2 linked regions of the Oryzias latipes genome follow. The protein of the gene in region 2 interacts with the protein of the main gene of each other region in a pairwise test. Links are inferred from orthologs where the notes say so. Each region holds a gene or a part of one and is shown on either strand. Other genes may lie near its edges.

Region 1 (4,260 bases), on a different chromosome or scaffold from region 2:
AAACCCGCATCTGATCCCATCCAAAGTGGGTTCGCACACGAGCGGCTATGCAGATTAAGAACAGTAAAAGCCTCTCCTGCGTCTCCTTCCAAGTACCTGCTTTAATCCCCCCCCCCGCCTGAGCTGAGGCTGTGGTGACGAACACCTATAGCTGCTTATGCCGGATGACCTTAACAAAACACAATTAGGAACTGATGGCATTACCTTTTTGTTGAGTGGGTCAAGGCGGCATTTACCACTTTTAGCCATCAAGACTTTAGGTCGTCCCTCAGCAAAACAAAAGTGCCACACTTGAAGTTTATTTGACTAAGTACACGTGAGTATAATCATAGCAAGTGTACTATCTGTGTACACGTAGTGTAATAAGTATATCACATGTACATAGTCTATATGCAATGTTTAAGTAAAATTCAAGTGTTTATACCCAAGAATACCAATGAAGTAAAATTCAAGTGTACTACGTTTAGCCAGGTCATCCCTTAAAAGTAGTACACTTGAAGTTCATTTAGTAAGTATACTTGAGTATCATAGAGGTATAGCAAGTATTCTGTTGACTACATACGTGTAGTGTTGGAAGTATACTATACTACACGTTCTATCAAGTATTATTAAAATATAAAAATTAAAAGGTGAACTTTAAGTTTACTACTTTTAGCTATTGTGACATAAGGTCTTCAGTCTAAATTGAAATATTTTAAGTTTACAATGTAGTATATAAAATTAAACTTCAAGTGTACTGCCTCACTTAGTATTGCCTGAGTATACTTTTAGTACTTATGAATGAACTTTTGCTAAGGGGTCACCCTAACCAAATATATTTTCTTTACTTCTAAGCTACAAAAAAATAAAATAAAATAAAATAAAAATAAAAAAAGGGAGGTACTTCAAATTAGGGAAATACAAAGGAAATGTATTAAAAAAACAGTTTATACTACAGTAAATACTACTATATTAAGTTTTTGTTAAATAAATTTTATGAACAGAAGACATTAGGCTAGCTAACACAAGCTACTAACGGGGGGAAGAAACATTAAAAAGATAGAATTTCCGCGATTTCTTACCTTAAAATATCATCTCAGCTGCACCAACAAACCCGGAATATAACTAAAAAGTTTAATTCCCATCATCTTCTCTGAGTTTCCCTCATAAAAATGTGTCGTTCTTATGGGAATGACCCGGTAACAAAACTCACATGTTGTTTTGGTGCATCATGGGATATGTAGTTGAAAGTACGCCTTATTTTCTCTCTCTCTCCCTTATAAAAATATAAAAATTTAAAAAAGCATAAAAGGGGGTAACTGTGTAGCTGTAGGTTTCCAATACAAATATAATAGTAATAATAAAAAACTTTAAAAAAAAATTGACTGTATTTTACGGATGTCTAAAATCACGGTGAAGCAGTTGTAGTCAATTCATAATCTCGCGATAAAAATAACTCGGCTGCCTGAAGCTGCGGCTCGGTGGTCTGTGAATGCATGGTTTCCATCCATAAATCCCGACTTGAAGCGGGTAACTGTCTATAGAAGGAGTCTTTCAACCTGTTTTGCTATTACATTTTTTTTTTTGTACTTTTGAAATTATGGGCGTGGTCGTGGAAACAATATCCCCCGGCGATGGTGAGTGAATGTGCCCGCTTGGTTGTGGTTTGATGCGGGGTGGAAGCGCTGCGGAGGGCGGTGTTGGGGCTCAGCGGTTCCTCAGGAATGTGATTCAGAGTTCACAAGAGGATTTCAGAGTAAAAATACTGCAGATAAATCTTTATTTACAGCCATTTTTGGGTAAATATCGCAACTCCCATAATGCTCAGCGAGAGAATTTGATTAAACTTTATTCAAAAAGCTTCTTTTTTCCAACATTTCTGCACACATGTTCACTTTCAACATTAAAATGTATAGACCTTTTGTTATCTGTTAAAACAGCAGTTTATTTAGTTGAAAACACAAAACATGTTCCAATCTGAGAATATAAAAAAACCTATTGTTTTATTTTGACTAAAGGCTTAAAAACAGGATTTGTGCTTTGAAATTCAGAAACATTCAAACAATAACTTTTGTTATTTTTTTTCTTTTAACAGGACGAACATTTCCAAAGAAAGGCCAAACATGCGTGGTTCATTACATAGGTAACTGCTTGCTCCTTTTCTCTCTCTTCATCTTCTAGCCATCCTGAATTCAGACATCCTTCCTGTCTCCACGCTGGAGGAGGGAAATCTGATTTCATTTTGCCCTCCTTAGAATAATATCTGCAGCACAACCTCGCTGTAGTCTGCTCTCACAATGAGTCCAGACTTTTCCAGCAGCATGGGTCTATTTAGACATATTTAAATGTAACGCCTGTTGGAAACACCTGCATTGGAAATTGCAACTGGATGCGTGTCAAATACTCCTGTGGTTTCACGAAATGTTACCATATTTACATAAAAAGATGTTGAGAATTTTTATTAGCAATACAATAGTTAAAAAAATGGTTTCATTTGCACCTTAAGGGCATCTAATCCGACATAGATAGTCTGTCCCCTATAGGGTTAGGCAGCGCAGGCAACTAGGTCAGACTGAAAGTAAACAAAACCCAGTTTGCAGGACATGTGTCAACCATCTGATCATTTAGGTAAGACTTTCTGTTTTGGGGATGCAAATGCTTTCTGCATGTCTGGTATGTTTAGGAGCTGATTTGGATCGGTAAAACTTTTTTCTTATGGCTTGAAAATCAGCTGATGTGACCACAGAAATGAGCTGGGATTGAGCGGCTGCAGTAAGAAACTGTTATAACATCTCAGATTATGTCAGCATTTAATCCGTTTGTCTCTCTGGGCCTTGTTTTTAGGATTCACATGATCTTCATCATTTGTTTTTTTTGTTCTAGACTGGGAGTTGAGAGTAGTAATCGACTAGAGTGAACATCAGGTCAGAAAAGGTCTCAGCGGTTATAGGACTGAAAGGATTAAGCCTTTCTGTTTCACTTTTTTTTTGGTGCATTTTTTTATTTGATTCTAAGGGAAAACATAAAATAAAAGTTTTTTTTGGTCGTATTTTTAGGGGTCTGTTTTAAGCGGTCTCTTGTTTTATTTTTTTAGGGGTAATAATAGCAAAATTCAGAATTAGGCTGAAGAAATTGTTAAAATATATTCTGTAAAAATAATTGGAAAGTAAAGGGTTAGCTAAAGAATTCAATGATCTCTTGTTTGAAATCGGATGTGGAAAAACCGTTGTTTCAGTTGTGTAGCTCTTTTTGTTTGTTGTCGTATTGGGATGGATGGAACGGGGGCATCCGCCTTTTTGGTCCATTGTTGGGGAATTTCAATTAAAAACAAGCAACCAAGCACACAAAAATGGATCAGTTTTTATATAACACAGAAAACTCATAGAATTTAAAATTTGCATGACGACATTTTTGTTCAAAACAAGCATATTCGTATAAATTAGGAATGGAAACAAGCATGTATTCTGATTTATATCCACATTTTCTGCAAAAAGTTTTTAAATCAGTAGCTAGAAAAAACCAATTTATAGAAGCATCAAACTGCAGGGAATGCTGGGAAATGAGCGGGCCTCCATTAGCTTGCTTCAGTTAAACTGAAATCCTGTAGGATTTGAATGTCTTTAATCCTAATCTCTTGGATTTGATAGATTCCCCCCATAGTTTGGGGTTGCTGCAGGACTTGTGCGCAGCTCCTGGGCTCGTCGTCTGCATGCGTTGGCTGAGTGGCAGCTCTGACAGCTGCACTTCTGCCGTCTCAAGCTGCTCGCCGCGGACCGGCGCTCCGAAGTTCAACAGGAAACATGCTGAAGTTGAGGCCTCTAGATGTGTGACCCAGAAATAGAAGCACCGAATGTCAGGACTTGACGGGTTTCTTTTCCTGTCGCTGGTGTTCGCTGCATGGTTCTGCTTCAGGATTAGAGTTAAACTGATGCAAAACCCCAAACCGGGATTAGGGCTCCTCAACAGGCTCTTTGGGGGTTTCTCCATGCAGCCTGGCAGATAAGATACAAAATCAAATTTTTTATTACACAATTATTAGATGAGCCTCAGATTATTTTAGTTTTTCTGGATTATTGACAGACTAGGATTATTTTTGTGGTTTCCCAAACACTTCTTCTCCCACTTAGCCTTAAATCCAGACTGATTAGGACCTGCTTTCTGCAGCTGTGAGACGCAGCATCACACACAAGCCTGGCAGAAAGATGACTTTCCCTAGATCCCATTTCCTTCACGCTCATGCCTGGGGGGGAATCTGCTGGCAGACGAGGAGCAGAAGGGAAT
Region 2 (3,640 bases):
CCACACGGATATCACCTTCTACAGACTCAGCATGCCTATCGAGTGTGCTGAGTGGAGATCTGGAGCCAGTGGCAACCTCTTCTCATCCAAGAAGGTAACCCAGAGTCTAACCATCAAAGGTTCTCCCCCCCCTCCCTGAAGAGGGGAGTTGTTACCAACCTATGAGGATCTGGAGATGTCATGGGGTGGTAACAACTCATAGCCAAAGCAGTTATCACAGCCAAGCTTTCAAAGTAATATTGAGTCAAAAGGAAGGAGCTGTTGAAGGACATTATGAATTCTGAGATCATTATCAGTCATTAATTACCTTTGACAGATTGTGGCTTCTTGCTGTAAAAAGTAAGAACTAAAGTTGGAAGAACAAACCCTCCAGTGGGAGATGTAGGCTACCTTTGTTTCTTTTTAGGAGAGGTCTAGGACAGTGAAGAAAGGCTGAATTAGTAGTTGTACACTGATTTAGTGGACATTTGTCTCTCTTCACATCAGAGGGTTTCTGCTCTTTTTGAAGCAAAAGATTGATTCCTCTACAGAAGATAATCTTTGCATATTTCTGTTCCAGGTTTTTTTTTTTTTTGACAGAGTTTGGACAGTTTCAGTTAACAGCAACTGAGTAGCATCGGCTTCTCCAGTGTCTGATCTCCAATGTTCTCTTGTTTCCCGAGCCAAATGATGCTCATGATGCAGCTCCTTGTGTTCTTCTGCAGGAGCTGGATGATTTTGAAACCGTCTCAGACTTTGAAGTCCTGATAAAGTCGTCCCATGGCCACAGTGTTTCCAACATTCCTAGTGTTCCTGGTGGACCAGAGAAAGATGAATTTAACAACCACAAAGATTACAACCAAGAGAAGTCGTCCAAGGTCAAACAGAGGTAATGTGCAATTTATCTAATTATGTCAAACAATGCAGTTTCACTATAATGCAAAAGATTTTGGAGATCAGACTGATCGCTGGCTGAAACCAAAAAGAAAAAATCTCCAGCTTAATGTTTATGTTTACTGTGCCTGCATTGTTGCTATATTAACACTTATTAACACACTGGCTCACCCATTAAAGTCCTGCTCCAATCATCTGTTGATCTATTGTAAAAGAATTCCCAGTGGTCTGTTCATTATGATTGTGTCGTTTTTAGCCAAGATGTAAAAAACTCTGTTGTTTTCTTGGACATGGTTCATTATTTTTGCTGGCATCACATGTAAGTTGTCCACTGTGATCCACTTGGTGGTTTTTATGTTAAAGTAAAATAAACCTAACCATAAATCCAAATGGTATTATCCTATTTCGATTCAATTATTGATTTATTTTTCTCCTTGATGCATTTCTTCATTCATTTGTGAACCTTTTGAAGACAAGAAACTGTTTTGGGAATGAAGCAGCACTGCTTAAACAGATAAAGATAAGACATAAAAATTGTTTTTCAGACTTTTGGAAAAAATATTCAGACTTACAATTCACAACTTTAGACAAAAGTCTCCCCAAACTTGTGTCAGGTTATAGTGGTGTCAAGATATTGTGTTTTGAGATCTTTACACAAAAAACACCATCTGGAGAGTGAAAGACTACATTTTACTTTGGTTGTTGTCAGGTTCCTTCTAAAGAGGAACAAGACAGACAGCAGCAGCCATCAATCAGCTCATCTGTCTGAGGAGGCGGGGTCTGATGACAGGGAGGGCTATGAGCTTCTCCTGCATACGTCTGTGGTAGGAAGTGGCTTTTAAATAAAAATCGAAAGTGTTTTTGCAGCCCTAAGGCTATAACCACATGTCTCTGTCTGCAGTACTACTATTCGGTGCGGATCTTTCCGGGTCAGGAGCCCAGCAGCGTGTGGGTAGGATGGGTGACCTCTGATTTTCATCAGTACGATCCTGGTTTTGAGCTCCACAAGGTCCGAACTGTCACAGTTACCCTTGGAGACGAGAAGGGAAAAGTTCATGAAAGGTGAGTAGAATGAGAAAGCTAGGAGATTGTCCTGAAACTGAGCGGAGTAATGCCACCTCTTCAACCTCCTCCACCCACCCACCCACCCTGTTCTGCAGTATAAAGCGCAGCAACTGCTTCATGGTGTGGGCTGGAGAGAGCAGCAGCACTGGTGGTCAAGGGAGGAACAATACCGGCTTAGAGATCGGATGTCTGGTGGACACTACAACTGGTCTGCTAAGCTTTACAGCCAACGGGAAGGAGCTCAGCACCTACTTCCAGGTAAGCCATCCTGACCAGGTAAGCCCTGTTAGGGCAATGATGTCAATGATGACCCTACCAGGGGCTTTTGCCATTCCAGGGCCATGGCAGACAGATCTTGGGTGAAAAGCCAGACAAAGAGTGGTTCAGAACCCCTTTATGAGAAGAAAAAGTAAAGATTCCCTAACATCGCCCAACCCCATACCTGGCTTCAGAGAAGGACCGTGGTGACACCAATCTGGTGATCTGGGCTTTTCCCATGGGTCCTGGATTGGTCCAACTCAGAGAAATGACGTTATATAATGAGTTATATCCCTAGAGGAGACACGCCCGCTTGGGAAGCCTGGCCGACGGTGGCGGAGCGCGACGCCATCTTGGTGAGGTCGTCGGCGCCCACATGATAATGCTTTCTATGGCCTTTAGTGGCATCTAAGTAACTTTTATATAATTTATATATATTAATATTTATGTACATTTATACATATATATAAATATATAATATATATGTATATAGTTTATATAGACACATACATCCTTTGTTGTGTAAATAAGAGAAACAGTCAGCTTTAAAAGCTCAAACTTTAATGAAAAATGCATAGTTGCAGGACTAACAAATAAAAATATTTATTACTAAGAATTTTTTAAAATAATTTTTAAACATGTAGAAGTTTTAGACCTCTTTGACATGTAATTTCAATTATTTAGAAAAGCCCAACAATAAGTCAATAATAAGTCAATAATAATAATTAATTAATAATAATAATAATAATACATCAATAGTAAGTCAATAATAATAATAAATGATAACAATGAATCAATAATTAAATAAAAATAAATAATAATAATAATAAATCAATAAGTCAACAAGAAGTCCAAAAGTCAAAAACAGATTTACCCTAAAAAAGAAAAAAAACAAAAACCAAGAAAAACAATAGATTTACTGATTCATGTGAGTGATCAATTTGGTATAACACAGATGGTATGGTGCCGGGTTTCAACAGTTTGGCCAGTCTTATCAAAATGTGGTTCCACAAAATTTCTTGAACATAGCCAGACTGTATTACTAGTTGGTAACCAAAGTGATCCATCTGGGTTAGCTCTTGTGACAGCTAAGGCTTTTTCCTTAAGTCTGAATCCATTGGAAACCTGCAAGAAAAGTTCAGTCACTGAGTCAGAAATGTATAAATCGATATTACTATAATAGCCTAGTCCTAGTATACTGTATACAGGTTTAACAAAATAAAGTTTACATTCATGTCGACAGCAAATTATACGTACATCATGCAGCATGTTGATAAATGGCCCTGCAGCATCATGCATGTCAACATGTGTACTATTAATGAAGCCCCTGCAGCATTAAAAGAAAAAAATATATTGTACTTACCTGTGAAATGTTATGCCTTCCTCCTTCGTGGACTCATTTCTCCGATTTTGGCAGTTGAAACCTGCACAATGAACTGGCATT

What was found.
Region 1: the proteins of ryanodine receptor 2 (region 2) and fkbp1b interact in binary tests that used the Homo sapiens proteins (3 or more experiments, as listed by UniProt). The link is inferred for Oryzias latipes from reciprocal best matches to the Homo sapiens genes RYR2 and FKBP1B.

What each region holds. Positions count from the first base shown.
Region 1 is NC_019882.2:3,009,999-3,014,258, forward strand, and holds the start of fkbp1b (peptidyl-prolyl cis-trans isomerase FKBP1B), read left to right. Parts: upstream 1-1,432; 5' UTR 1,433-1,579; coding exon 1,580-1,616; intron 1,617-2,074; coding exon 2,075-2,122; intron 2,123-4,260. UniProt on the Homo sapiens protein: Has the potential to contribute to the immunosuppressive and toxic effects of FK506 and rapamycin. PPIases accelerate the folding of proteins. It catalyzes the cis-trans isomerization of proline imidic peptide bonds in oligopeptides.
Region 2 is NC_019877.2:17,236,710-17,240,349, reverse strand, and holds part of ryanodine receptor 2, read left to right. Parts: coding exon 1-94; intron 95-704; coding exon 705-868; intron 869-1,582; coding exon 1,583-1,697; intron 1,698-1,774; coding exon 1,775-1,935; intron 1,936-2,033; coding exon 2,034-2,196; intron 2,197-3,640. UniProt on the Homo sapiens protein: Cytosolic calcium-activated calcium channel that mediates the release of Ca(2+) from the sarcoplasmic reticulum into the cytosol and thereby plays a key role in triggering cardiac muscle contraction. Aberrant channel activation can lead to cardiac arrhythmia.